7 linked regions of the Macaca fascicularis genome follow. The protein of the gene in region 2 interacts with the protein of the main gene of each other region in a pairwise test. Links are inferred from orthologs where the notes say so. Each region holds a gene or a part of one and is shown on either strand. Other genes may lie near its edges.

Evidence for each region.
Region 1: the proteins of PSMC5 (region 2) and NR1I3 interact in a two-hybrid assay, tested with the Homo sapiens proteins (2 studies listed by BioGRID). The link is inferred for Macaca fascicularis from reciprocal best matches to the Homo sapiens genes PSMC5 and NR1I3.
Region 3: the proteins of PSMC5 (region 2) and VDR interact in a two-hybrid assay, tested with the Homo sapiens proteins (2 studies listed by BioGRID). The link is inferred for Macaca fascicularis from reciprocal best matches to the Homo sapiens genes PSMC5 and VDR.
Region 4: the proteins of PSMC5 (region 2) and RORA interact in a two-hybrid assay, tested with the Homo sapiens proteins (3 studies listed by BioGRID and IntAct). The link is inferred for Macaca fascicularis from reciprocal best matches to the Homo sapiens genes PSMC5 and RORA.
Region 5: the proteins of PSMC5 (region 2) and RORC interact in binary tests that used the Homo sapiens proteins (3 or more experiments, as listed by UniProt). The link is inferred for Macaca fascicularis from reciprocal best matches to the Homo sapiens genes PSMC5 and RORC.
Region 6: the proteins of PSMC5 (region 2) and THRB interact in a two-hybrid assay, tested with the Homo sapiens proteins (3 studies listed by BioGRID). The link is inferred for Macaca fascicularis from reciprocal best matches to the Homo sapiens genes PSMC5 and THRB.
Region 7: the proteins of PSMC5 (region 2) and PDC interact in a two-hybrid assay, tested with the Homo sapiens proteins (2 studies listed by BioGRID). The link is inferred for Macaca fascicularis from reciprocal best matches to the Homo sapiens genes PSMC5 and PDC.

The regions. Positions count from the first base shown.
Region 1 is NC_088375.1:99,833,885-99,838,365, forward strand, and holds the start of NR1I3 (nuclear receptor subfamily 1 group I member 3), read left to right. Parts: upstream 1-1,482; 5' UTR 1,483-1,942; intron 1,943-4,481. UniProt on the Homo sapiens protein: Binds and transactivates the retinoic acid response elements that control expression of the retinoic acid receptor beta 2 and alcohol dehydrogenase 3 genes.
Region 2 is NC_088390.1:70,333,009-70,337,561, forward strand, and holds the start of PSMC5 (26S proteasome regulatory subunit 8), read left to right. Parts: upstream 1-1,395; 5' UTR 1,396-1,397; coding exon 1,398-1,450; exon of another isoform or gene 1,451-1,858; intron 1,859-2,053; coding exon 2,054-2,144; intron 2,145-3,454; coding exon 3,455-3,524; intron 3,525-3,814; coding exon 3,815-3,912; intron 3,913-4,099; coding exon 4,100-4,156; intron 4,157-4,238; coding exon 4,239-4,469; intron 4,470-4,553. Other genes in the region: pre-rRNA 2'-O-ribose RNA methyltransferase FTSJ3, read right to left, coding at 1-79, 202-248, 512-617, 791-857.
Region 3 is NC_088385.1:54,596,264-54,600,165, reverse strand, and holds part of VDR (vitamin D3 receptor), read left to right. Parts: intron 1-1,486; coding exon 1,487-1,658; intron 1,659-3,902.
Region 4 is NC_088381.1:37,072,697-37,077,186, forward strand, and holds the start of RORA (nuclear receptor ROR-alpha), read right to left. Parts: upstream 2,963-4,490; coding exon 2,795-2,962; exon of another isoform or gene 1,501-2,794; coding exon 1,425-1,500; exon of another isoform or gene 1,325-1,424; intron 1,235-1,324; exon of another isoform or gene 1,159-1,234; intron 1-1,158. UniProt on the Homo sapiens protein: Nuclear receptor that binds DNA as a monomer to ROR response elements (RORE) containing a single core motif half-site 5'-AGGTCA-3' preceded by a short A-T-rich sequence.
Region 5 is NC_088375.1:109,391,473-109,394,726, forward strand, and holds the end of RORC (nuclear receptor ROR-gamma), read left to right. Parts: intron 1-857; coding exon 858-1,019; 3' UTR 1,020-2,408; downstream 2,409-3,254. UniProt on the Homo sapiens protein: Nuclear receptor that binds DNA as a monomer to ROR response elements (RORE) containing a single core motif half-site 5'-AGGTCA-3' preceded by a short A-T-rich sequence.
Region 6 is NC_088376.1:24,227,364-24,231,265, forward strand, and holds part of THRB (thyroid hormone receptor beta), read left to right. Parts: intron 1-2,372; coding exon 2,373-2,614; 3' UTR 2,615-3,902.
Region 7 is NC_088375.1:43,957,406-43,962,020, reverse strand, and holds the start of PDC (phosducin), read left to right. Parts: upstream 1-1,781; 5' UTR 1,782-1,848; intron 1,849-2,693; 5' UTR 2,694-2,735; intron 2,736-4,615. UniProt on the Homo sapiens protein: May participate in the regulation of visual phototransduction or in the integration of photoreceptor metabolism. Inhibits the transcriptional activation activity of the cone-rod homeobox CRX.

The sequences.
Region 1 (4,481 bases), on a different chromosome or scaffold from region 2:
ATTTTGAGACAAAGTCTCCCTCTGTCACCCAGGCTGGAGTGCAATGGCATGATCTCAGTTCACTGCAACCTCCGCCTCCCAGGTTCAAGGCATTCTCAAGCCTCAGCCTCCTGAGTAGCCGGGATTATAGGCACCCACCATCACACCTGGCTATTTTTTGTATTTTTAGTAGAGACAAGGTTTCACCATGTTAGCCAGGCTGGTCTTGAACTCAAGTGAGCCACCCGCCTCGCCTCCCGGAGTGGTCATGTCTCAGAATTTTTTTTTAAAAAGCTATGAAAGGCCGGGTGCAGTGGCTCATACCTGTAATCCCAGCACTTTGGGAGGCCGAGGCAGGTGGATCATGAGGTCAGGAGTTCAAGACCAGCCTGGCCAACATGGTGAAACCCTGTCTCTACTAAAAATACAAAAAGTAGCCAGGCATGGTGGTGTGCACCTGTAGTCCCAGCTACTCAGGAGGCTGAGGCGGGAGAATCACTTGAACCCAGAAGGAGAAAGTTGCAGTGAGCCAAGATCAAGCCGCTGCACTCCGACCTGGGTGACAGAGTGAGACTCTGTCTCAAAAAAAAAAAAAAAAACAAGCTTTGGAAGACAGCAGCTAGGCCGAGTGCCGTGGCTCACACTTGTAACTCCAGCACTTTGGGAGGCAGAGGCGGGTGGACCACCTGAGGTCAGGAGTTTGAGACCAGCCCGACCAACATGGTGAAACCCAATCTCTACTGAAAATACAAAATTAGCCAGGTATGGTGGTGCATGCCTGTAATCCCAGCTACTTGGGCGGCTGAGGCAGGAGAATTGCTTGAACCCAAGAGGCAGAGGTTGCAGTGAGCCAAGATCACGCCACTGCACTCACAGCCTGGGCAACAAGAGCGAAACTCCAGCTCAAAAAAAATAAAAATAAAAATAAAAAAGAAAGCAGCTAAAAGGGAAATAGAAATGTATTCAGAAGATAGTGCTAGCAAAATGCCTGGCACAAAGTAGATACCCATTACATATTTATTGAATGAATGAGCGTACTCATTCGCAAACAATAGCATGTGATGTTGCACGAAAAGAGCATGGATTTGAAATCAGATGTTAATTTGTATCCCAGTCCATTTATTCATTCCATAAATATTTATTATATATGCTTGGAGTACATAAGACCCTAAGGATCCCCAAATGACAGGTGCAGCCCTTGACTTCACCAATTCACAGTTGATTGACAGAGTCAGAAAGAAACAGACAGTTGTCCTGCAGTGTGATAAGTGCTGTGACAAATTTGTGTACAGAGGTGTAGCTCTATTAGGCTCACTGAGGTGATCTGCAGTACCCAGGCCTGAAGGACCAAGAGGATCAGGAGGATGAGGGGAGGAGGGTTTGAAAATAAGGATGTGTGAGGCAATTCCAACCAGAGGGAACAACAAGGGCAGATGTTCAGAGGTGGGTGAGCACAGCTTGTTCGGGAAACTCTAAATGCTTAAGCACATCTAGAGCCAAAGTGTGATGTGCTAGGTCAGGGGAGGGAAGTGGAGACAGAATAGGTGAAGCCAGAGTGATTAAATAGGGGCCAGATCACAAAGGACTTTGTGTGACATGCTAAAGAGATTGGATTTTATCCTGAAGGTGATGGAAAGCAAATGAAGAATTTTAAGCAGGGAAGAGACACGATCAAATTTGCATTTTAGAAATAGCAACAGCATGGAGGATGGGTTGGAAGGAGATGAGGCTGGGAGCAGGGAGAATAATTGAATAGTCTGCTGCAGCAGTAAGTGGAAAATGATGAGGGCCTAAACGCAGCTAAGAGGTAGTGGGCATGTAGAGGTCAGAAGATAGGAATGACAGGTCATGGCATTTGGTCATTTATAGGGAATGAGGGAGAGAAAGGAGACTAGGTGACTCACCAATTTCTGGTTTGGCATCTGGGAGAAGACAGCAGTGAAAGGGGAAGGAAAGGAAGAAGGTAAGAGAATGAATATATGTTGATTTCCTTGCATGTTTCAAGCACCTTGTAAAGAATTTTACATTTTACTACTTTATTACTTTGTTTAGTCTTCACAGCAAACCTGGATAACGAGTGTTATTAACCCTTTTTTTCCAGGAAAGAAAACTGAAATTCAGAGAGCTTAACCCATCAGGTCACAATCCTCACAGGTGTTTTTCAGACCCTGGCCTGGAAGAGGCATGTTGGAAGAGGGTGAGGGTATCAGTTAACCCTGAAAGCCTGTTCGCTATGGATGCCAGGGGCATCCTGCAGCAGATTCTACTCTCTGTCTGCTTTATAGAGAGACCTTGAAGCCAGGGGAGGGTTTCTGTACACAGAAGAGCAAACTCAAAGCAGTCTGTTCCAAAGGAAACCCCATCTCAAAGAACTTCAGGGTGGACTTCTGCAAGAAGAACAAAGCTTAGTGTAATCCCTGGCCCCAGGTGAAGGGCAGCCCTGGACCAGAACATCTTTCTAGCCTAACTTCTCCCTAAGCATTCACTGCTGAGGTAGGAAGAGGAAGTATGTCTCCCTTCCCTGGTCCAGTGTTGGCTCAGCCTGATGATATCTGATTCTCAGAGCCCCATGGGGCTGGGTCTCAGTCATGGCAAACAATTAGAGAAGCGGCAAAGAATAAGTAATTCAGCTAGCAAGAGCCAGTCGGAATTTGAACGTAAGTCTATATGACCCCAAAGCCCATGTTCTTTCCACTTTCTCACATTGGACTAGTCATCAAGTCAGGTAATGTAGGAAAAGTTAGTTTGTGGGGGGGTTGACAATTCAATTTTAGACATATTGAATTTGAGGTGCCTTTGTGAATCCAAGTGGAGTCATCTAATAAACTGTTGGGTATATTGGCCCTTGTATAAGTTATCTAAACAATCTGAGCCTCAGTTTTCTCATCTGTAAAATGACGATATTACCTATCTTACAGTGTTAACACAGGCAAGGAATTTTACATAGTACTCTGCTCATACTGGGTACACAAGAAGAATAAATTAAGGGAGCAATTAATACCTATAATATTATACATAGTCTTTACCACAACATTTGTTTGATTATATATTTTCTTTTAAGACCTAGGAATTCAATTTATTTATTCAGTCTTCATAATTAATCTGGAAGTGTCTCTGTAATAGGGACCTCTGTAAAGGGTCTCTCCTTCTGGTGCTAATCATGAGTGGACACTTGATAACTTATTACTGGAGTAAATTGTCAACTGTGAAAATGGATTGGCACCCAAGTATGGAGGGCCCTTGTCCTCCTCCTGTAGTCTCTCTCCCAGTTGGCAGTACCACCGTCCACTCAGTCACCCATGCCAGAAACCTGGAGTTATCTTTAATTCCTTGTCTTCTTTCTTAATCCAGGCATTATAATAGTCACCAAATTCCAATAATTTCACTTTCCACGTATTTCTCAAAACCCTCTCCTCTCCTACATCCTTCCACTATCCTAGCTCCAGCTTAATCTTCTCTTGCCTACATTATGGCTATAGCTTTCTAACTGGTCTCTTTGCCTTCAGTCCTGCCCCCTCAAATCCAACAGCCAGCAGACTAAACTATCTAGAATATAGATATGACAATGTCATTTCACAGCTTTCTCTTTCAAAGTTTCCTGATGGACTCAGTGTTTAGCCTGACACATGAGGTCTCCTGTGATCTGCCTACATCTCAGCCTTATATCGCACCTCTCCAACCTTATTTCTTCCCACTCCCAGCCTGAAATGTTATGCTCCAGCAAGAGAGGCCCATCTGTGGTTCTACCATATCTACCTTTTTGTATCTGGCTTATTGACCATCTCAGGCTGCACCCTCTGCCTGAACTGCCTTTTATATTCCCCCCCCCCGGCTAATTCATCATTACCCTTTAAAAGTCAACTCAGTTGCCACACCTCCAGAAAGCCTTTCCTGCCTCTTCCTCAATACCCCTATTGAGCGCCCTACTTTTTCAGTGCCGTAATGCTCTATGCATGGCACCATCACTGATCTGACTCTATTTCTTTATATATGTGTAAAGGTCTGTTTCCCCCATTAGCGGGAATGAGAGTAGGAGAGCATCTTACTCATCTTTTAACTCTAGTGTCTTAAGACATAGGTGGATTCTTGGTCAATATTTGTTGATTGAATAAACTAGTATGAATTGTCAGAGTCACAAAGACACCAACAGATACATACACATAAATATTCTTACCATCTCCCAAGGAACAGATCCAAGCATCTGTGCTCTCTGGAACTCAGTTTATTTCAAAGTGCAAAGTTATGCATAGTTAGATGCTATACCACTTGAGATTAGGGGTTCTACCAATTCATTCTGGTAAACTAAACAAGGATCTTTTTAACTCAGTCTCTCTCTCTCTCTCTCTCTCTCTCTCTCTCTCTCTCTCTCTCCCTCTCTCTCTTTCTCTCTCTCTCTCTCTGTGTGTGTGTGTGTGTGTGTGTGTGTGTGTGTGTTTATGACTCTAGCCTGCACTTGGGGTTTTAACTCATCTTTAGAGAAACATTAATTATAATTTAATGCA
Region 2 (4,553 bases):
TGCCTACAACGTTCTGTTGTGATGTCCTCCTGGAGAGTCACCACATTGGGGAGAGGCTTGATTGGAACCAGGTCCACTCCTGGAATAAATCAGGTCAGAGTATTCTAAAGGGTTGCCTCAAGCAGGGAGGAGAGAAATACAGGACAAAGTACTTTATACACCGACCCCTTAAAACATCAAGGAGAGCTGTCCGTTACTCACCCACAATAAGGCTGGATACAGGCATAAACTTGGCAGCTACCTGCAGCCTATAAAAGGAATAGGAATTTAAAAACCTACAGCCATCCTTGTCCCCCTCTTGGCAACTGACCTCTCATCCCTGGTGTTACGTGCACTGGCCAGAACATATCATAGGCACGTATTCCAAGTCCTTTCTCTGCAGTCAAGAAAGGAAACGGCCTCCAAGGGGACCGGGATTCGGGATTCCTCTCCCGCAATGAAACTGGAAACCATCGCAGCTCAGAACACAGAAAGCGGCCACCAGGAGCAACCTGTGGCAAGTGTTACGAACCATCCCCCTGGCGCAGCACACAGGTCCAGCAAGGCTCGGGCTTTCTGCAGGAACTGAAAGCGGCGATTGAGCTGGATCAGCTTGAAAGCAGATCGGGAACGGTAACCTGGACAAAACAACCAAGTGCGCAGAGGGCTTCACCATCACCAGCAGGATTTCTCCAGCCTCGCAACCCACTACCCCTTCTGCAGGAGAGGTACACAATGGTCAGAAAGAGCAGGCGAACCGGGCAGAGATCGCTCGCTCGCTCGCACGCAGACTGAGCGAATCTGGACTCACCCGTCTCCTTCGCCAAGTGATAAAACTTGTCCCGTCGGCTCTTGCCAACTTTGCCCTTCTTGCCCATGGTGGAATGGGGGAGTATCGCTCAATCTGGGGAGAAAGTAGAAGTTGAGGACGTCTCTTTCCGGATCACCAGATTCCTCTTTCAGTTTCCCACTTCCCGCAGCAATTCCACTCCGCTCCCCTCTCCGCACACTCTACCTAGACCCACGGCCGCTTTCTCCACACTCGGAACCGCACATGTATGCAGCAAACGTACTTCCGCTTCCGCTTGCGTCCCTGGCTCGAGGTTTTCCGCCATTTTGAGTGTGGCCATAGATTGTTCTCGGTACTCTGTCCTCGGATTTTGTAAGTTGAAAGTTGAGACTAGGAAGGCACATTACAAGAACTACAAACATAGTTTCAATGAGGCAACATTGAGGAGTTCTGCTCCTTCCTCTTCCCCCTCCAAAGCCCCTGAACTCTCGTAGCCGCCCCTCCCATCATGGTCCCCTTAGTTAGTGTGGTCTGGCCGCGCACCCCGCCCATTGACCCGGAACTCTTCTCTGCCTGGTCTTCAGGTCACAAGCCTCCGCTTCCGCGCCTGCGCGCAAAGGGGACTCGGATGCCGGCGGTCTCTGCTGAAGAGAGAAGATGGCGCTTGACGGGCCAGAGCAGGTATGGCGGCTGCAGTGGCGGCCCGGCAGGTTACGGGGCTGGGTGCGGAGCGAGCGTAATCTAAGTGGAGAGCGGGCCGGGGCAGGAGGGTTGGGTGGGTCGGAGGTGGCTGGAGTAGTCCAGGCTGGACGCTGCCTGCGACTGGATCTGCTGTGTCAGCGCCGCCCTCGGTGAGTCAGGGCAAGGCTGGGAGAGGAATACGCGGTAGAAGCGGAGTGAGTGAGGGGAGCGATGGGCGCGGGAACGGCCGGCCCACGGGTCGCAGGAGACGGGACGCCAGTCCTTCGGCTCCGTTCCGCTTGCTCCGTCGGCAGTAACGACACCTCGGGCTTGTAGAGCGCTTCACGCAGTGCAAAGCGCCCCCGTGTATATCATATCGCCTCTCGGTCCTCCTAAAAGTCGTACAAGGTAGGCGGCGTTCCCATTTTTTTATTTTAGTCGTGGGAAAATGGAGGGTTCCCAGGGAGGGAGGGATTAGAACCCAGATGCTGAGCCTCCGAAGTCCAAACTTTTTTTACTACGCAAAGCTACCTGGTGTCAAACCTTATTCAAAGTGCCCTGCAAGTGGCTTTATCCCCTCGGATGTTTAACCTGTCGTTTAAGACTCACTCTGTGTCTTCAGATGGAACTGGAGGAGGGGAAGGCAGGCAGCGGACTCCGCCAATATTATCTGTCCAAGATTGAAGAACTCCAGGTGAGGACGGACTTCAGAGAGAGCTAGGAAGCGGGATGATGGGGGATGGAAACGGACTTCCACAAATCCATCTAATTCCACTGGGAGTGCAGTGGAAGAAGCTGCTGCTTCTCCTTTCTTGTTTGTTTCTTAGCTAGTAGGGTGTGTGTATCAGAAGTAAGCAATCTCTTGTTCTCCTCCAGTCCCACCCCTTTGAGGGTCATAGTGTTCACAGTTTGTTAAACATTTTCAAGAGTCAAATCTTAACAGAAAAGGTACCTCTAGCCAAAGGTCAGCCCTTTTGGAAGAAGCCCGAATGAAAAGGATTCTTATGAAAGGGAAACAAGCTCAGGAGATGAAATTTATCACCAAGAGGTTGGGTGAGGGTGAAGTGAGAATGTGAGGAAAGGCATCATTGAGGCATCTGGATAATGCTAATTCCATAGAGACTGAATGAAAGAAATTGGGCAACCCAGAACGCTAGCCTAAAGCGCTAAACCATAGAAAAAGGACCGTTTATGTTGTTAATGAAATGTTTATGTTTACCAGTAAGGCTTCCAGCAGTAAGGTGTGACTCTCAGTAGTAGGTATGGCTTCCAGTAGTAAACATTACCAACAACATAAACAGTAGGCTGTTAGTGTTAACAGTGTTATGTTACAGTAGGCTGTTAGTAGTTTAACTTTGGACAAGTCCATGTATTTTCAATTTCGTCCTAATCCCCTGCGTTGTTCAAGTGTCATCTGTAATATAAATTGGATGGGGGAAAGCCACAAAGAACAATTCTGAATTCCAAGTGCATTTGCAGGTATTATGTTTAGTTAACCATTTTGGAATGCTTTTTCATGTGTTTTTATTCGTTCACTTCAGTAGTCCTGAAAAGGAGCAGGGCAGCTGATGCTATACCCATGTGCCATTTGGTAACAGATCTAGATTTTTTAAAATAGATTGCCTGAGCTTTACCTTGCTTTTGATTGACAGCAGCTGGGCTAGAACTCAGACTTCTCACCTAACACTCTTTCCACTAGGTGATGTTGCCTTCCTGTGAGAAATTTGGTGTTACATGAGCCAGCTGTAACTTTTCTCCATTAGATTCTGTTATTCCTGGACCAGAATTGGACAAGCAGCCTTCTTTGATGGCTGCCATAAGCTCCAGAGGGACTCTTGGAGGACAGGGCAGGGTCATTAGAATCATACTGGAGAATCTGAAACAACACACAGGTGCCCTGTGCCCTTCCCTCAGCTCATTCTGACCTGTGAGGTCTTGGCCAAGATCCTACCTCCTCCTGTCTCCTGCCCTTGAGTAATGGAATTTGTCTCTTGTCTGCCACAGCTGATTGTGAATGATAAGAGCCAAAACCTCCGGAGGCTGCAGGCACAGAGGAATGAACTAAATGCTAAAGGTGAGTGGGGAAAGATGGGAAGCCGCATGTGGGCAGTTTGTCTGAGGTCTGTCCTAACCTCCCTGCACAGTGTCTTCACAGCAGTGCTTACTGTTTTCTCCCTGTCATCTAGTAGTTTCACATGCATCTCTTTTTCCCGAGCTCCATTGTAGCCTCCTTAAATACATGAATTTTTATCTTTGGTCTTCCTTTAATAACTTAAGAATGATGCTTAGCTCATGCATGTAGAATTGGGTCCTGGAAACTCCAAAGGAGTAGCTAGGTGACCACTGTGTCTGTTTGCCATCTAGTTCGCCTATTGCGGGAGGAGCTACAGCTGCTGCAGGAACAGGGCTCCTATGTGGGGGAAGTAGTCCGGGCCATGGATAAGAAGAAAGTGTTGGTCAAGGTAAAAGCAGCATGACCCCAGGGACCAACCAGCTCAGTCTGCACTGGATTCCCACCCCTTTGTGTGTAGCCTTGGGAGACAGGGTTCTGTGTTCTGTCAAGGTATTGTGGGATTCTCGAAGGTCTTCCTGGGTAGGGTTAGTGATTTGGTGGCTGTCAAGGAAGATCATGAGCTCTTCTTTCTTTAGGTACATCCTGAAGGCAAATTTGTTGTAGACGTGGACAAAAACATTGACATCAATGACGTGAGTGTAGCAGGTGAGGTGGTGGTGGGGTCAGCTCTTATTTCTTATTGTACCACTTCTGAAACTCACCCCCTTCACCCAGGTGACACCCAATTGCCGGGTGGCTCTAAGGAATGACAGCTACACTCTGCACAAGATCCTGCCCAACAAGGTAGACCCATTAGTGTCACTGATGATGGTAGAGAAAGTACCAGATTCGACTTATGAGATGATTGGTGGACTGGACAAACAGATCAAGGAGATCAAAGAAGTGATCGAGCTGCCTGTTAAGCATCCTGAGCTCTTCGAAGCACTGGGCATTGCTCAGCCCAAGGTGAGGAGCAGGGCTTCTCCAGGAGGGCCAAGCTGTACTTTACTACTCCTGCCCCAGCCAGCCCTACTGCAGGGGTCGGGGAGG
Region 3 (3,902 bases), on a different chromosome or scaffold from region 2:
TCAATTAAGGCCAGTCTGTTTAATCCATATGTTGCTCTGTATTTCAGCTTTCAATAGTAATTCTATACTACTTAGGAGGCTTTTTGTTGTTGTTTTTTGTTTTTGCTTGTGTTTTGTTTTGTTTTGAGACAGAATCTCACTCTGTCACCCAGGCTGGAGTGCAGTGGCACAGTCTCTGCCTCCCCGGTTCAAGCCATTTTCCTGCCTCAGCCTCCAGAGTAGCTGGGATTACAGGCACCCACCACCACACCTGGCTAATTTTTGTATTTTTAGTAGAAATGGGGTTTCACCATGTTTGCCAGGCTGGTCTCGAACTCCTGACCTCAGATGATCTGCCTGCCTTGGCCTCACAAAGTATTGGGATTACAGGCATGAGCCACTGCGCCCTGCCTATTTAGGAGTTTTTTGATACCCTCTTGTAAGTTCACTGATTCAAGGTGCTTAAACCGCCCTCCCCACAAGTGGTGTGTTCAGTATAGCATATATTTATTTAAAAATTCAAACAAGTTAACCTTTTTATTTTTTAAAAAAATTATTATACAAAAGTAATACATGTTCATCTTAGACATTTGGAAAACATAAACTAAATTATATATATATATATACTTTAATCCTGCTACCCAAAGATAATCACTGTTAGCACTGTAATATATCTCTTGCCTCTTTTTTTAAAAACACATATGTACATTCAGAAAAGAAATTTTGCTGTATACAATCTGATGACTTGTTTTTTTAATATTGCATTGTTTTTCCTTACAATTTAGTATGCATCCAGAACATAATTTTTAAAGGCTGCACAGTATTTTGGAATACAATAATGTACCTAAATCCCCTACTATTGGATATCTGGATTATTTCCCAGTGTTTTAGTAAGACAACAGTATACTTATAGCTAAATATTTACACTTATCTGAAATTTTCCCTTACAATGAATTCCGGGAAGTGGGATTACTGGTCAAAGAGTACACACAATTGTTTCACTAATGTCAAATAGCTTTCTAGATTACCTGCAGTAATGTGCATCTCCTTTAGCACCCCAGCCCTCATAGGCATTGCCTATTTCCTACATCTTTATAAATACTGGCATCAGTATTTAAACATTTTTGTTTCTGGTTTATAGGTGAAAAGTGTAGATGTTCTACATTGCAGTTCTTTGATCATTAGCAAGGTTGAACATTTTTTTCCATGGGTTGATGGGTCCCAAATTCATTTCTGATTGAGATCCGTAGGAACAGCACATGGTCTGCCTGAGGAAGTCTCATTGCTCTGAGTGTCTCTGGCTCCTTGCTTTTACTGTCTCACGCTGCTGAAAGAGGCAGAGAGAGTCCCAGAGGGAAGCCTGGGCTGAAGGGTGACCTCTGGAATCACTGCGGGATTCCCAGCTGGCTCTCCTGCCAGGGCACACCAGGTCTTTGCAGGGGCTGGCAGGAGTGGTCCTGGTCCAAGTACCCTTAAATAGCTCCTTCTCTTCCCTCATCTCCCCCAGACATGATGGACTCGTCCAGCTTCTCCAACCTGGATCTGAGTGAAGAAGATTCAGATGACCCTTCTCTGACTCTAGAGCTGTCCCAGCTTTCCATGCTGCCCCACCTGGCTGACCTGGTCAGTTACAGCATCCAGAAGGTCATTGGCTTTGCTAAGATGATCCCAGGATTCAGGTAAGAAACTTCTGCAGTATCTAGGGAACAGAGTCAGAGTCCTAGACTGAGCTATAAGAAGGGCTGGAGATCACCCATCCACCACTCCTTTTTTTTATTTTTTATTTTTTTAAATGGAGTCTCACTCTGTCACCCAGGCTGGAGTGCAGTGGCGCCATCTTGGCTCACTGCAACCTCTGCCTCCCAGATTCAAGCGATTCTCCTGCCTCAACCTCCCAAGTAGCTGAGATTACAGGTATCCACAACCATGTCCAGCTAATGTATGTATGTATGTATGTATGTATGTATGTATTTTTATTTTTCCAGATGGAGTCTCGCTCTGACACCCAGGCTGGAGTGCAGTGGCGCTATCTCGGCTCACTGCAACCGCCACCTCCCAGGTTCAAGCGATTCTCCTGCCTCAGCCTCCTAAGTAGCTGGGATTACAGGTGCATGCCACCATGCCCGGCTAATTTTTGTATTTTCAGTAGAGATGGGGTTTCACCATGTTGGCCAGGCTGTTCTCGATCACCTGACCTCATGATCTACCCGCATCGGCCTCCCAAAGTGCTGGGATTATAGGCGTGAGCCATCACACCCTGCCCTAATTTTTTTATTTTAGTAGAGACGGAGTTTCGCCATGTTGGCCAGGCTGGTCTCAAACTCCTGACCTCATATGATCCACCCGCCTCAGCATCCCAAAGTGCTGGGATTACAGGCATGAGCCACCACACCCAGCCTCCATTGCTTTTTTAAAATAGAGATTCAGGCCCTACCCTAGACCCGCTAAATCAGAACCTCTGGCGTAGGACCAGAAATCTGTATTATGAAGTGCAGCCTATCCTGCATTACTCTGCAGGCCAGCACTGGAGAGCTAGTCCATCCCCTCACTTTCTGGATGATGGTGTAGAAGCCCAGAAAGGTCCAATGGCCAGCCAGGATCCCTTCCTGGTGTTGGAGCCAGCACGTCAGAGCCAGGCCTAGAACTCCCAGCTCACTGTTGTGTTACTCCAGCTGGCTTGACTGGCATCCTCATATTATCTCTTTAAATTCAACGACATGATTCCTCCACACCCCAACTCTGAGAGTAGAATGAAGTGATAGAGAGGAGAAGGGTTGGCCATGTAGACTTGTGAAACAGTCTGGGAATCCTGGAGAAAGACAGGTTTCCTGGCATATATGACCCCGGCATCCTTCACCAAAATGAAGACCATTTAAAGACCATTTCCTGGCCAGGCGTGGTGGCACATGCCTATAATCCCAACACTTTGAGAGGCTGAGGTAGGAGTTCAGCCCAGGAATTCCAGACCAGCTTGAGCAACATAGTGAGACTTCTTCTCTACAAAAAAAAAAAAAAAATTTATAAATTAGCTGGGTGTGGTGGCACATGCCTGTAGTCCCACCTACTAGGGAGGCTGAGGCAGGAGGATCACTTGAGCCCAGGAGGTCAAGGCTGCAGTTAGCCATGATTGTACCACTGCACTCCAGCCTGGGCAACAGAGCAAGATCCCGTCTCAGAAAAGAAAAAAATAAAGACCATTTCCTAACCATACTGAAACATTTTTTGCCAAAATAGGTAAGTATAAGGAGTTCTACTGGAGAAGGGATCCTCCTTTATCAATTCACTCATATAAATTTCATTCATTTATTCCCATGTTTTATTGTTGTAACACTAACAGTGTATATAATACTTATATTTAAATGCTCATACAGTGTTAATATTCTTTTTTTTCCTTTTCTTGTTTGAGACAGAGTTTCGCTCTTGTCACCCAGGCTGGAGTGCAATGGTGCGATCTCACTGCAACCTCCACCTTCTGGGTTCAAGCAATTCTCCTGCCTCAGCCTCCCAAGTAGCTGGAACTACAGGAGTGTGCCACCATGCCAGGCTAATTTTTTGTATTTTATTTTGAGACAAGACTTTCCCTCTTGTTGCCCAGGCCAGAGTACAATGACACAGTCTCAACTCACTGCAACCTCTACCTCCCGGGTTCAAGCAATTCTCCTGCCTTAGCCTCCCAAGTAGCTGAAATTACAGGCACGCACCACCACGCCTGGCTAGTTTTGTATTTTTAGTAGTAGAGACGGGGTTTTACCATGTCGTCCAGGCTGGTCTCGAACTCCTGACCTCAAGTGATCTGCTGGCCTCAGCTTCCCAAAGTCCTGGGATTACAGGCGTGAACCACCACGCCCAGCCAATATTCTTAAAACAATAGAGTACTGACACATTTAGTAGATGTGTTGGGAGATTGCTATATTTATGTATGT
Region 4 (4,490 bases), on a different chromosome or scaffold from region 2:
ATAACGCTTTTAAACCAGCAATTATTTATACTGTACTACTCGAGAAACCCTATAATTATTCTGAAAGCACTTGCCAACGTCTACCCTGTTTCATATTTGCCAACACAGCCTTGTTCAAAAGAATTAGTGGCGATGTCAAAATTCTGCTTGGTACTAGGGTTACTGCTTGAAACAAGAAGTGATTACACGATGTTGGGGTATTCAAGGAGAATGGGGCCAATAAAGTACCCTAAGAATGAAATTGTCTTGTATTCATATTCACAGGTGGGAAGAAAAGGAAGGTGGTGGTTGAAAGGGAAAAAAATTGCTTGAATTTTTTTTCCTTTTTTTTTTTTTTTAATACTTTCCCAAGAAATACTGTCATCTGTTGAGCAAAGTGACTTTAAGAAAATGGTTTTTCAAATGCTGGAAATGGTAGTGATTTGAAGGAAAAAAGATAACCCACTTCTCCCTCTTCCCCACTCCTTCCTGCCTGGAAAATGTTTCTATTTCCGGCCTTTACTCCTGATATTTGTAAGTGAATCTGGGTAGTGACTGTAGAACCTCGGCTTACACATCTCAAAACACCCATCTGTGCAGGTCACTTGACTTTGCTGACCTATTTTCTGCTGTTTCTTTCTGTTACACAAATCTCCCCCACTTGAAAGAGCAATAGTCCCTCTACTTTCCAATGAAGCACAGACAGCAGAGAGATTTCTCACTCTCTGTAAATGCAGAAGCTTTTGGAGTGTCTGGCATTTCAGGTGAGTGTTTAGGAAAAACCGGATGTCATCCTGGGTGTCTCTCTCATCTTTATTTCATGCTTTCTCTTTTATAAACCCACCCAATTGTGGACAAGGGGATCTGTGTTCCCCATCGCCAAGTGAAAATACATTCTAAATCTACCCTCAAAATTGAGGGTGCTGTGCAAAGTTTCATAAATAGAAACAGGCAGGAGAAAAATCTGGCTTGACAACTTCTGAATTTAAGCCATTTATTCTCACCTCCACCCCATTTCTATCCCGCCTCTTCTCTTTTTTGAACACGTCATGTAAAAGCAGAGAACTAAGGCAGCTACCTAAAATAAACTTTGTATTACTTGTCTAAATATTTTAGGGAAGTGTTTTTCCTATTCTGAGTGTCCAGGCTATTTTCTCAGTTCTCGTGTTCACTCTGCAGGTGAAGATACTGTCATTGACTGGGGAATGTGCCTGTGGACCATAACCCAAAGGCGGCATCTTTTGTGATAAAAGAGGTATAACCCTGTTTCATGAGTCTATTGGCCAGGAAAGAGATCCTCTGTGCCTGGAAGTTCACGGCTTCCCCTTTCTCTTCATCATTTCAGGTTCTGCGGGAGGCTCCATCTTTGATTCAAACCTCACTTCTTCCTAAAAGCCTTCGTAAATGAAGAAACCTTGCAAATTACAATAGATGTTTCCCCTCACCATTCATGTATCTAGTTTGTACTTCCTTATCTTCCTTTTGTGAATACAGTGGCTTGCCATTTTGCCTCGAGGAACACTTGTTTGTCCACCCCAATCCAGTGATAAAGGAGAAGGAAAAGATTTATCAGATCATGTATTTATGCACAGCACATCCCCAAACGCTTCAGCAGCAATAAGTACCCAAAAAAGTACTGTTTAGGTAGCCAACTCCCACTGTCTAATTTAATCCCACTGAGACTGGATGTGTCTTTTTCTCCTTTTGTTCTAAAGAAACTTCTACTACTATTTGCTGGCAGGAATAACTTTCTGCCACCTGTAGTACTCTCTGCTTCTGTGAAGGCTGAACTTCAAGTTGCTGTGAAAGAATTTGCATTATCCCTCTATAGTCATACCTAAAATTAACCCACTGTCTTAAGTTAAATAAGATCTAGAATGCTCACAACTGTTATGGTTATCCGAGAACTAGAGAGTGGGGCTTTCTGGCACTACAAGAGGATGTAGAAGATGACACATGTGGTTTGGCCTTTATTTGGAAGCAGCAAAAATCACAGAGGTGGTGGTTACAAGACAAAAAAGGCCAGGGGAGTGAACACAAAGTTTTGGCTGAGTTACTTTGTACTATTATGTAATGAGATACAAGTTCAGCCTTGCTTGAGTTTAAATAACCATAATGAACTGTTACAAACTCTGGGATGGAGACATTATAAACATAGGAAATTCTGTACTTGGTCCTCCAGTTGGTCAAGTCTACCTGTATTCATAAGGAACACATTCATTCCCTTGGGCTACAAGAGAAACATTCTGCAAACTGGAAATAGAAGTTACTCTCTGGATAGTTTTCTCAAAGAATATAATGAAGTAAATCCGAACTTCAGAAATCTCTGTGATCATGTATTTTAGAACATCACCAGAGCAAATAGCAATGAATCTCAGCTGATTAGAGCTTTAGTAAGTAATTGGGATAGCTGAATATCCAAATAGCTGGATTTTTATCCAAGTAAACACATGAAAACAAAGACGGCAGTTATCATAAATATTTTTAAAGGAATATTTCTAAATTATGACATATTTCTCTTCTTTTTAGAGAATTTTGAATAGAATTTACTTTCCTGATGATAAACATTCATCAGAAATTTTATTTTAAAATTTATTAGAAATTTGGAGAGCAGGATGTCTAGCCTCTGAATGGGAACCTTAGTAGTGCCAATGATGAAAGAGAGAATTAAATATGGGTGATGTTGAGAAAAGCAAGATTTTTGTCTAGAAGTATGCCCAGTGCCACACTGTGGGAAAGGGAGGCAAACACAAGACTGGGCCACATCTCCATGGTCTCTGGACAGAGGACAGCTCAGGCCTTTGGATTCACTTACACAGACGCCAGTGAAAACAAAAGCATCACCTGGGGACAGGAAACACTGATGGAGTATTTGAAGAATCCCAAAAAGTTCATCCCTGGAACAAAATTGATCTTCACTAGCATTAAGAAGAAAGCAGAAAGGGCAGACTTGATAGCCTATCTCAAAAAAACTAATGAGCATTAATTAGTTGGCCACTGCCTTGTTTATTACAAAACAGGAACATCTCATGACTTTTTAATGTGTACCGTGATTTAATAGATCTCATATACCAGAATTCAGATCATTAACATCTGACAGAATATTTTTGTTGGGCAGTTCTGTTAACTAAGACTGGATTGTGGTTAAATGAGTATGTTCGATGTTTCTTTGAATTTTGATAGTAATTTTGATTCAGTAACTGCTGTCAGTTTCCCCCTTCTGAAGATATGGTTGGACTTCATTAGTAATGTTCAACTTTTCATAAAGATGAATACCACCTTAAAACCTATTGGAAACTGGTTTTATGTTTAGATTTATATAACTAGTTATGTGAATATATTTAAATACTGGGGAAATTCCTTCACTGTCTCAGAATCAAGCAAGAGTCACCTGTATTTTGTGTTCTTTTGCCTCTTACAGGCAAGGGCTGAAGATAAGGTAGCAATGTCTACTTTATATTTTTGGCTTTGACTATGCCAATCTAATTAGAATTCCCTGTATCTAAAATGGTTTCCTTTACTTATAGAAAGGTATTTTAGTGTAGACTTTAGAGAAGTGCAATATTTAGAGTGATATTGTACACTAAAGTGTGATAGTTGAGAAGAGTTAAATATTTTTTATTTGATATTACACTTTGGCATGTACTGTAATATCAAATATACTTTATAAATAATAAAATCTTATAAATAACAAAATCTAATAAAAATCAAATAAAGAAATTTAATATTACACACCAAAGTGTAATACCAAATAAAGAGTATTTTACTCTTCTCAAAAAAATCTACTAGACACTTATGAAAAAAGTATTAAATTATTGTTTACGCTATAATGCTCTGAAGGCCTTCTAAGATTTATATGACATTTTGGCCCAACACTAAGTGCCCTGGTTGTTTTCCTTTTTATGTTTTTTCTTCCTCCTTCAGCTATTGTTTTCCTTCTTTCTGTAGTCATATGCTAGATCTTATGAGGCCCTCCCTCTACTTGTAATTAATATTTTGTCTTAGAATTAGCTATGTCTTGGAACCCAACCAGATAACTAAGCTTGTGTAAAAACCAATTATAAATAGGATGTACTGGGTCTAAAGAGATTTTCTCTGAAATCAAGTGCATGCACTGTAGTGCTTGAACTTTGGGATTCTGTTTTGGCAACCTAAAGGCCTATTTGCTGACTTCCTAACTTCTCAGATGGTTTGTGACAGCGAAGGTTGCGAGAGGACAGATCCATCACAGGTGAGCTATTGCTGTAGTAGGAAGGCAAAAAAGGTAATTGAAAGACCCCGTTCTTCAAATTACCAAGAGAAAGATGTCGTGCAGGGAACAGGACAATCACCTTTCTGTTATTTGCATTACGGCTTGATAATTATCACAAGTACATTCAGTGTGAGAGTTTCTCGATCTCTTCTCAATGCCTTCAAAAAGATATGTTATAAGACATGGCAAATTGATTATTTACTTAAGCAAGGCCAATGTCACGTTCCAAAAATATTTCAAAGCCAAATACACATAACTT
Region 5 (3,254 bases), on a different chromosome or scaffold from region 2:
CTTTCCAAGGAAACTAAGCTAGGGGGAGGGAGGCAATGGCAGGCAAGAGACATGTTTAAGCCCCTTGGTTATTGAGGAGACTGCAAGAGATAAATTGTTCTTTCAGCCTTGCTCCGGTGAGGTCTCCCTGCCTCCGTCTGCTCACTGATTTCTGCGCCTTTTTCACCTTCCCTTTGGCTGAGTGCTGGCAGCGTTGGTTTGACTTGCAGTGTTAGGCGCCTGCTTAGAAAGTCTGTTTAGTTCAAAGAGTTATTAAGCATTTGCCATGTGCTAAGCATTATGATAGGCACAGAGGAGACAGGGAAAGAGAGACCCCAGCTAAGGAGCTGAAATCTAGGGTGGGAAGGCAGACAAATTGGACCATTTTCCTGCAATGTGGTAAGTGCTACACAGAGGAAAGCCCAAAAGAAGGACCTTAATCCAGATGGGGGGAGTTAGGGAAGTAGTCTTAGGAGAGGTGACACTAGAGGGTAAGAATTAGGAACGGGAAGAGGGAAACAACATGCACAAAGGCAGAGGCATGTGACCGCATACAACAAGAGTCACAGACAGTCACTCTTATAAAAGCATGAAGTGCACATTAGAGTCTTTGATAAGGTTCATTCTAGAAGTATCGGGAACACAAATTGAGGGCTTCACCCAGAAAACATTCACCTGTCCCCCACCCACTCTCGCTTCCCTCCAGTGTCCTGAACACACTCGTACTTCTACCAGTGGGATTTGGCTGGTACCAAAGTGCCAAGTACATAAGGGGAAGGCAAGGAGGGTTGGTCCTAGCCCAGGAAGAATGAGCAGACTTCTTTGCTCTGAGGGGAGCTGAAGTATTGACCCTCCCTTCCCCATTAACCCATATCCAGCTGCCACCCAAGGGGAAGCTTCGGAGCCTGTGTAGCCAGCACGTGGAAAGGCTGCAGATCTTCCAGCACCTCCACCCCATCGTGGTCCAAGCCGCTTTCCCTCCACTCTACAAGGAGCTCTTCAGCACTGAAACCGAGTCACCTGTGGGGCTGTCCAAGTGACCTGGAAGAGGGACTCCTTACCTCTCCCTATGGCCTGCTGGCTCACCTCCCTGGACCCCGTTCCACCCTCGGCCTTTTCGTTTCCCATGAACCCTGGAGGGTGGTCCCCACCAGCTCTTTGGGAGTGAGCAGATGCTGCGACTGGCTTTCTGTCCGCAGGCTGGCCTGGCAGTGGGACAATCGCCAGAGGGTGGGGCTGGCAGAACGCCATCTCCAGCCTCAGCTTTGACCTGTCTCATTTCCCATATTCCTTCACACCCAGCTTCTGGAAGGCATGAGGTAGCTGGGATATAAGGACTTCTGGGGGACCAAGCCATCCTCAAGAAAACAGGGGCATCCAGGGCTCCCTGGATGAATAGAATGCAATTCATTCAGAAGCTCAGAAGCTAAGAATAAGCCTTTGAAATACCTCATTGCATTTCCCTTTGGGCTTCGGCTGAGGGAGATGGATCAAGCTCAGAGACTGGCATTGAGAGCCCAGAAGGACCCGTATAAAATGAATCTGGAGCTTTACATTCTCTGCCTCTACCTTCCTCCCAGCTCAACAAGGAAGTGTTTGGGCACCCTACCCTTTTCCTGGGGTCTAACCAAAAATGGATGGGATGAGGATGAGAGGCTGGAGATAATTGTTTTATGGGATTTGGGTGTGGGACTAGGGTACAATGAAGGCCAAGAGCATCTCAGATATAGAGTTAAAACTCAAACCTCTTATGTGCACTTTAAAAATACACTTTAGGGGCTGGCACAAATCTGATTAGAGTCACATATCCATACACAGGGGAAACACACATAGACTCAACAGCAGCCATGCAGTTCCAGAGACACATGAACCTGACACAATCTCTCTCATCCGTGAGGCCACAGTTTGGAGGAGCCTAGTGGCCTCGGGAAAAGTCCCAATCCTGAGGGACCCCCCAGAGATTTCCATGGTGCTCCGGTCCACTGATCTTGGGCCTGGGGTGATCCAAACACCACCCCAGCTCCAGCTGTCTTCTACCACTAGAAGCGCCAAGAGAAGCAGAGGTGGCTGGCACTGGCCAGTCGGAAGGCACGATCAGACCTTGGAGGACTTTGCTGGCCTGCCTGCTAGCCCTGCTCTTGTTGTGGAGAAGGAAGCAGATGCGATTGCATCACCCTGTCATTGGGCACCGCTGACTCCAACATGGAGGACACCAGGGAGTAGGGCCTGGGCCTGTTTCCCCAGCTGTGATCTTGCCCAGAACCTCTCTTGGCTTCATAAACAGCTGTGAACCCTCCCCTGAGGGATTAACAGCAATGATGGGCGGTTGGGGGGTTGGGGGTGGATTGTGTCCTCTAAGGGGACAGGTTCATCTGAGTAAACATAAACCCCAACTTGTGCCATTCTTTATAAAATGATTTTAAAGGCAAGAGGTGTGTGTGTCAGGGGGTAGAGGAGATCCTTAAATTAGATTACCTGCATGCCTGCTCTCCAGTCTCATTCCTGGGTCAAGACTCAGATTTCCAGCTCAGCAATCCATCAGCATTATACAGATCCAACCCACCCTCACCCCACCCATGCAGTTTCTCCCAGGTGGAGCAGTCCCTCAGTGAGGACTGTGAATGAATCCTCAGGAACCCCCACTATAGGAGCCTCAAACTGAGCTCCACAGGAGATGCTGTAGACTGAGAACTTCCCATAAATGATACCCACAGGGAACGTTTAGATTTAGAGGTTGCACAGAATTGCTCCACATCTGGGAGACCAAAAGACAATCCTCTGGAAGGTGTCTGGCCTGAGCTCCCCTGTGGGGAAATCAGGATGTCAGAGAGATCCTCTAGAGCCTGCTGCTCTTGCTATTGCATGACCCCTCCCTGGCACCAGAGCCTCCCTCCTGGATCCCTCCCCTGTCACTCGCCAGCCTGTAGTGGTGCTTGCTGCAGCCCTCCCTGGTTGCTTTATTTATTTATTTTGCACCAACAGGGTTGCTGCAGACTCATTCTTGCCTGGTTTAAAAAGAGAGAGAGAGGAAAAAAAAAAAAAAAAAAAGGAGAAATGCTTTCTGGCTCTTTTCTCCACCTCAGTCTTGGCAGCAGCGGCCGCAGCAGCAACAGCAGCAGCAGCAGCGGCAGGCAGCAGCCGGGCAGCCAGGCAGCGGGGGTTGAGGCACACAGGGAAGGTGCAGGGGCCTGAGGTGCAGCTCGAATGGGACAGGGCCCCCAGCGCTGAACAGATGCAGTGCCAAACTTGATGCCACCTTCCAGCTTCTCCGGTAA
Region 6 (3,902 bases), on a different chromosome or scaffold from region 2:
CAGTGACCTTTAAAATGAAGAAATTAAGCTACATACACAGGAATTATATTTCTGGAGGGACTCATGGTAATTTTTTTAGCTGAGATTTTAGAGGTACAAAGACAGTTTTAAATAATGTTGAATCACACCATGAGAAAGCTATTTCTTTGACAGTTTTCTCTTCCTGGTTATATCTCCTTCCAAATAAGGGAAGGAGAGAGACTCAGTGTGGTGCTAGTCTGCCTTTAACACCTCTCTAACACTTACTAACCTTCCTTTTTAACAAAGAGAGAGTGGATCTCAGGAGCAATGTGCAGCAGAACCTTCAGCTCCAGAGTAACAAAGGCTTTTGCCATGCATCCATTTTTGTGGTTATCTTCTTATGTACGTCAAATGGATTTTTATTACTGAATAATAAGATGTTTCCTTTTTAGTGGGTCAGTTTCACAGATTATTAAGCAAATCATCTTAGTAAGGTAGATAAAGGGAGAAGTAGGTGGAGATGGCAAAAACTGAATGTGATGCCAGACGCTATCAAACACCAAAGTGAATGATTCTTCCCAGTTCTCTCACGTTGTGAGGCTGACACTGCCTGACAGCTACAGGACAACTTAATAACTTTTCACAACCCACCCTCCCTAGTGATGTGGACCCTCTTCATTAATACTGCCAGGACCAGGAAAATATTACAAGACACTGTGCATTTGGCAAATGATAGCTGCCTGTCGGAGCCCCAAGTCTCCAATTCCTCTGCAGCCTGATGTTCTAAGCCCCCTGTTTTGTGTGCCATTTCAGTTACACAATATCTTAGACTTTTTCTTCAAAGACTTTTCCAAGAGCCACTACTTCTAAGTTCCTTGGTCCTGCAGTGCAAAAAGAAAAAATGAAAATGATCTGAAAGACATTCCTTTGAGAACTTTTGTCTTAAGGAGTTAAAATGGTCTTCAGTCTTTAAAATGTTTCTCTCTTCATAAACCTGTTCAGTGTGATTCAAGCATCAACAAAATGTCAATTCGTACTCGTTATGTCACTTATGTGACCATCTCATCTTTATCTCTTTTGTGGCATTAGCCACAAAACCCACATTGTATTTTCCCTTTGAAACAATACATCCGAAGCAATAATATGTTGATCTTCTATCTGGATTAAAAATTAAAGGATCCTGTGGAAAATTCTTGCACACTCAAAGAAAGAGAGAAGATAGGGGAGAGGGAGAACCAGCAAATCCACAGAGCAGCTTCATCAAATATGAAGGAAAACACAAGATAAAAATGTACAAATTTCCATTTGAGCTAAATAGGGGATTCCAAAAGCCCGTATGGTTTGTTAGTTTGTTTAGACTCAGAAGGGCGAATTGAGACATTAGCCCTGATTCTTCCTTTCCAATGAAGCAGAACCCTGTTTAGATTCCTACTGATACAAACACCTCCAGAATTGGACCTTTGAAGTGTGAATTCATTTGAATTGAAGAGAACTGAGCAGGGGCGTGTTGGGCCTCCTGGAGCTATTTGAGGAATTCATCCAGGTTTATAGATTATTTTTGTCACCCAAGTGTCTGCAGCCCAGCTATTCCCCAGTTGTCCAGCCTCCTTGTGTCACCCCTTTGTTTATCACTTTTGGAAACTGACTTGAGCCTCTGCCACATACTGTGGGAAGCCCAGTAGTCTATGCAGGACTTGGGAAGATTTCCTGGGCTTTCCAGGGTCCCGGTGTCCTCTCACTCCAGCTCCCACTGTAGCTGTTCTCTTCTCTGCATGGGGTGACTCTGGCACAGCTCCCCTCCCCTTTTCTTTTCATTTCAATTCCAAAATCATGTGTAAAACAAGGCTGCTATGGTAGCACTTTTACTAAAGGCATAAGGAAAGGGAAAGGCCAGTTCATTGCAGCCTGGAAGACAACACAAAGTTAAACATGGTGTTTCTTGGTCCTCAAGGAAATGTCTTACTATTCCGCATTCCTCCTTTGGCCTCAGGCCTGCTGCAATGTCCCCAGTCCCTTCATATATCTCCCCTTTCTATGCATGTCCATGCTAGTCCTCTCCCCTCTCCCAGGCAGCCAGTGAAAATTCAAAATTGTTCCCCTCATCTTGCAGAATATTTCAGCTGTCAGCCTTCTCCTCCTATACCCTAGGAGGGGGCATCACCTTTCACACCCAAGAAGGTGATCTAAACAGAGATATTTATCTGAACAAAGTACTGCCTCTCTTCATAGAAATGATGCCACTCCCCTGGTACCTGGTCCCTGGAGCACCAGAGTTCACGCTGCATCCCTGCTTATGGCTAAGAGGGAAGACCCTAGATCTGCCCGCCTCCCACTAAAGGCCTGGAATTGGACAAAGCAAGCCTTCCCTCTTCCATCTCTGAATCAATGTCCATCTTGTCTCTTCCCCGCAGATCGCCCGGGGCTCGCCTGTGTTGAGAGAATAGAAAAGTACCAAGATAGTTTCCTGCTGGCCTTTGAACACTATATCAATTACCGAAAACACCACGTGACACACTTTTGGCCAAAACTCCTGATGAAGGTGACAGACCTGCGGATGATAGGAGCCTGCCATGCCAGCCGCTTCCTGCACATGAAGGTGGAATGCCCCACGGAACTCTTCCCCCCTTTGTTCTTGGAAGTGTTCGAGGATTAGACTGACTGGATTCATTCTCATAATTCCTACAGCACTACTGGGTGTCATTTCATTCCATTGCCTAGCTCTTTTTTGTTTGTTTTTTTGTGTCAGGAGGGATTATTTGGGAGGGAAAAGGGAAGTAGTCCTTGGCATAGACATGGATGAAATTGCCCCTTGAATGCGGGTACTTGAAACTATTGCATTTCGTTCTCCGGTCCTTTGATGTGAATGCTCTGAAGGTTTTACGGTTGTGGAGGTGGGGTGGGGGACAATCATTAACTCACCAGCACCAAGCATCACCAGCTCCCACCCATCCCCAGTCCGAGACTCGAGTCAGCAAAATGGCGCTGCAGGACACTAAAGAAGCCTTAAAACCAAGATAATACGACCACCTCCACCCAATCCTGATGTGTGCAGGGCTGAAGTTAGCAGAGTACAGACCACGTTTAGTTAGATGTGGCTTTCAGCCTTTTAGGGAAAGACTTGAACAAATTTGCATCTGTTCAAGAGCATGCTGTTTCCAGCACTCTTTATCGTCTCCTAGGAGCGTAACTTGGAATGCACAGGAATATTTGTGTCCTAAAAAATCAGTTGTCCTTCCAATATCATTTTTATACCCTTATTAGATTTAATTCAAGTTATACAAGGGTGTGACTCAAGGATGTACAGATATTGACTGATTGAGGCCAACAAGGAAAATAATTTTTTTCAGTGAGCCCAGAGAAATTAGAAATCTTCACCAATGTCAGTGATTCTATGGTTTCCAAAAATTCATAGTATTACCTCACAGTAGGAAGGCTTCTTTCCCATTTAGGCTCAGAGAACACTTACAGAAATCAAACCTATTCACAGGGTGGCACCCCTTTTCTGTGGCATCTGATCTGTCATCTCCCAAGCTCCCGAACTTCTTTATCCAGGTTGTATCTTTGCTGAGCTGACAACAGATTTCTCTATGGATCAAATATTCTAATCAAGGAAAGATACGCTAAAATTTCAGTCTTCTTCCAGAGAAATTCTGAGGAGAGATTAGTGCAGCTACATTCTGAGTGGAAGGAAATGCAGTGTTCTGAGGGCCCCTTCGTGTCCTGATGGCTGGAGGATGCTTCCTTCTGGTTAGATCCTCAAGCTCCTTCCCTCGTTGACAAATGTCTCCTAGTCCCCTTTTTCCCTCTGACTCTGAGGCACTGCATAGCTTGACTATCTCTAAACAGAGACTGGCCCTGCTACTGACCCTCCTGTCCCTCTTATAGCACACCCTGACAGATACTCAATAGAAAACACCTGCAGACCATGTGCACACTTACCT
Region 7 (4,615 bases), on a different chromosome or scaffold from region 2:
GGCTTTGACTCTTTTCTTGACAAGTTTTCATGATCTACAAAAATTACTCAATTCATAATTGAAGCAATTAGATCAAATATGCTTGTCCAAAATGGAGGCAAGTGTGTGAAGTCCATAATGACCCCAAATCCTTCCAGTAAACAAGTGCCAGAGATAGCACAAAATAAAAAGCAAATTATGAAAATATCTGTGTTGGGAAGGTGGCGGTAGCATAGGAATTGCTATAGTAATTTTTTTTAACCATAAGTCTCTATACTTGTACCTATATTACATATTTGAACATATGAGTACCACACTATATTTGACAGTAACTTAAAACATATTTTTGAATGTTAAAACCACTATGACATTTTTTATCATCAAACTGAAATATTAAATTTCTTCACATTTGCCATCAGAAGGCATCTTTTAAGTTACATTTGTATTGTACCTGACTACATTCTAGATTCTTTAGCTAGAGAAAAAACACTCAGTTCATAAAAACTGAAAGTGAATTGCCCTGAGAAACTTTGTTGAAAAGCACATGTATAGCACACAAACTGGAAACCTGCTAAATGGGAGGTAAACATGAAACCTGCTAAATGCGAGGTAAAAATCTGACTTAAGGATGAAAATGAAAGTTAATTTAGAAAATACTTTGATTTCTGGAAGAATCTCTATGAAAATATTTATGGTTGTGACTCTTAAATATTGTAAATTTTATGTACTCTTTTCTATTCTTCAAATCAAATTCTACGATAAAAAAATGTATAAGCCAACAAAGTTCTGAAATGTGACAGATTTCCCTCCTACTAACAGAGTAAATAAATAACAAATTAATTTAGTATAATAAAACATAACTATTAAAATTTATTTAGACACTATCACTGTTTAAATTGCATTAAGATCTACTTAAAGTTTCTGGGTGAAGCTATGTATGACTAAACCTTATAATTTAAATATCTAAATGTATTCATTTTAATTGCCATTAATATTAAAATTTTGTCCTCTTGCTAATTAAAAATTTCCAGTTTTAAGCTTAGAGTAAATTAAATCTCCTACTTTGGCAAAGTTAGATGAGAATTTGGTTGTAAGAATTAAAGATGTTAGGAAAAGACGAAAGATGAAACACATGCATCTACTTCCCTTACATCTCAAAACTCCATTAAAAAACAGCAGGAAAGGAATTTTTAATGGCAAAAACCAGAAACAATAAGGAGAAGTGAAAAGGAGAAAATGCCAATAAAACTAGAATCCAGAAAGCAAGATCTGTAAAAAAAAAAAAAAAACAAAAACAAAAAACAAAAAAAAAAAAACAAAGCCCATCTGAAAAAAATTGTATTAAAAGCCTGTAGTAAGAGAAGATGAAAATCATAGTATCTCTCTTACTCCTCCCAATGTTGTAGTAATCATAGCACTTCATTGTGATTACCTTTTTACTTACCTATCTCCCCCACTAGACTGCAAGCCCCACGATATAGGAAATGGGGTTTACTTGTCTTTGTACCCTGGTGCCTAGGTACTGCTTGTTTCACACAAAGTAAGTGCTCAATAGAGGATTATGGGACTAATGAATACAACTCATGTTACTGTGATAAATAAGTACTCATAATGATCTCTGTCTCTCATCCATTCAATGTGTTCTGTAAAATATAAACTGACTACTCTTTGTTTGGCTTTGCCTTATTATAAATGAATAGGTCTTGCTAATTCTGTTAATCCTATTACTTGTTCAGAGCTATTTCTGCAAGGGTCATCAATATCTGGGGATTTTAAATCTGAGCTTAAACCTACTGAAGTTCAAGAGGAGTTCAGTAGACAGGGATTCTCACCCACTGAACAAGGACACCAGGCACAGAGATCCAAACAGTGAGTCCACAAGTAGTCCTTTTGATAATATAATTTTTAAAATTTTACCTTAGGGGAAAGAATAGTGATTCACTGTTTATATATTATTGTGTTAATTTAAAATAGTTCAAAGTACATAAAGTTTTGAATTCTCTACTACAAAGACAATTAAATACAGTGTATCCTTCTCTCTTTTCAGTGATTTCCACCAGTCATCTTCACTAATACAGATTCAGAGTAAACATGCAATGTTTAGCCTGATATTCTAGACTATTAAAATAAGACCATGATTGGAGAACTCATTTTGCAATTTTAAATTTCCTTTGAGTGAAGGGAAAACTAAGGGAATAAATGATGAGTCCTTGAACTTTATGTTGGAAGATCTGGCTCCCAAGTTGGAAAGGGAGTGCGGTAGTTGCCCCTTTTCCAAGGGGGATATGTTCCAGGACCCCCACTGGATGCCTAAAACCATAGATAGAACTGAACCCTGTGTATACTATGTTTTTTTCCTAAACATTCATACCTATGATAAAGTTTAATTTATAAATTAGACACAGTCAGAGGTTAATAATCACTAATAATAAAATAGAAGCTTTATAACAATATGCTAGCATCACAACACTTGTGCTTTGGGACCTTATTAAGTAAATAAGGGTTACTTGAACACAAGCACTGCAATAGTCAATCCGATAACCAAGAGAGTAATGCGTATGGTGTGGATATGGTAGACAAAGAGATGATTCATGTCCCAGGCCAGACAGAGCAGGATAGTGTGAGATTTCATCAAGCTACTCAGTACACTGCACAATCTAAAACTTTTGAATTGTTTATTTCTGGAATTTTTCATTTAATATTTTTGGACCAAGGTTGACCAAGGGTAACTGAAATCACAGAAAGCAAAACCTCAGGTAAGTGAGGACTACTATATTCATCCAGCGCTAAGGCATGTTTTGAGGCTTTTCCTTAGTAGTATGTTATTGTGGCGGTGGTTTGTTGGTGGTTTTTAATTTTTAAAGTAGAAATAATGTTTGTTTTGAAAGGTTACTTTAGAAATTTAATGGAACAGAAATAATGGTTTTAAAAGAAAAGAACACTGAGAGTTTGTTGATATTTGTTAAATTCAGTGAAAATTTTCTTTCAGTTGTTTTTTTTTTTTTTTTCTATTTTGTTCCCATGGAGGTTATTATTATTACCAATAAACCTTACAGTTTTGCATTATGAAAATGAGTGCAGTAATTGATTTGCAATGAAGTATTTTTATTAACTGCAAAAATAACTTCTCACTATAGAATCCATTTTAAATATATATAATATACATATTGTCCATTGTACGTGCTACTTAGAATCACCTAATATTAAAGCTAGAAAAAACTTAGAGATCATCTAATTCATCAAGACGATTTCTGCCTAAATATTATGTTTATAAGTGGATTTGACATTATATGTCATTATCAAAATATATATGAACCATTCATAATAATGTCTGCAATGGAATTCAAACAATATGTACAGGAATATGTATATTTACAAGATAAAGAGACACTTTTAAAAAGATGGCGGTTATAAATTCTATTTTCTCCAGAACAAGTAAAAGAATATCTGTATGTTGTAATAGCAAAATTGGATTGGTGGATGTCTTTTCACTAGGAACAAGAATTCAGTTATGACTTTTAAAGCTCATATTTCCAGAGTAAATTTTTTTAATTGATGATACAGGATAACAGACAGGAAATTGATATTTGCTATGCATTCCTGACATACAAATTGTTTAAAAGGCTCCCTACAACTCCCCTGCCCAGTCCCATAGATGTTGAAAAAGCAAAACTATTTGAGTAGGGTAGAAACAGAAAATATTACATCTGTTCTATAGTGTCTTATGTCAAAATTTCTATCATAGTTTTTCTATCAAAGTTCTTATGAACTTTATCTACATACTGGGGGTAGGGGGAAGTCAGGCATAAAGTAAGGAAATTTTTCAACAGCATCAAGATGAGTGTTTTGTATTTAAAAGAAAGAAAACTAACATTTGCTGACTGCCAACAATTTTCTAATTTGTTATAGGCATTTTGAGGACCACGTGTCCTGTATTCCACTATCCGTCTCAAAATTTAATTTTAAAGAAAACTCTTATTATGATACCACAAAATGTAAAAGTTGATCTATCCCAAAATTAACAACTAACATAATTGAAGGTAGTAACAAAAACCCTAAGTTTTGTCTTACTCCATTAGAGAACTGAAATTCAGAAAAGATATATAAAGCATTACAACATAAATGCAAAAAGGAAAATCAAACAGAAAATCACTTATGATCTGCAAAATCATGGGTAAGGAAGACAATTTGTTGGAAAACAAGTATGCTACATTCAAATCAAATAATCATTCCCATTTTTCACTTCCAATTAATTCAAGAAATTAATTGTTATGAGGTATAAAATCTCCTTTGTGTCTCTTGTAGAGACACTGAAAGTCTCCACAAGCCCAGTAATACTTTTGTGATCTGACATGGTGTTGTCAAAGCTATCTGATATGAAATTCTCACCACTGATAATTTATTGTAATAAGAAAGGAAAGGCAGAACTACTTTCTATAGAGTCCAATATGGCATTGGGGAAGATATTCATGGAAGGGGTTAAAACACTTCATATTAATGTATCTGTATTGGCGAGCACATTAGCTTGGCTTAGTTGATCAGATTAGCTCACAGTCACCTTAGAAAACAGGAAAGCAGAGACCTAAGGAGATGTACAGTTAGAGGCAGAGAAAAATAGGGCATAAAGCCCTGCAAG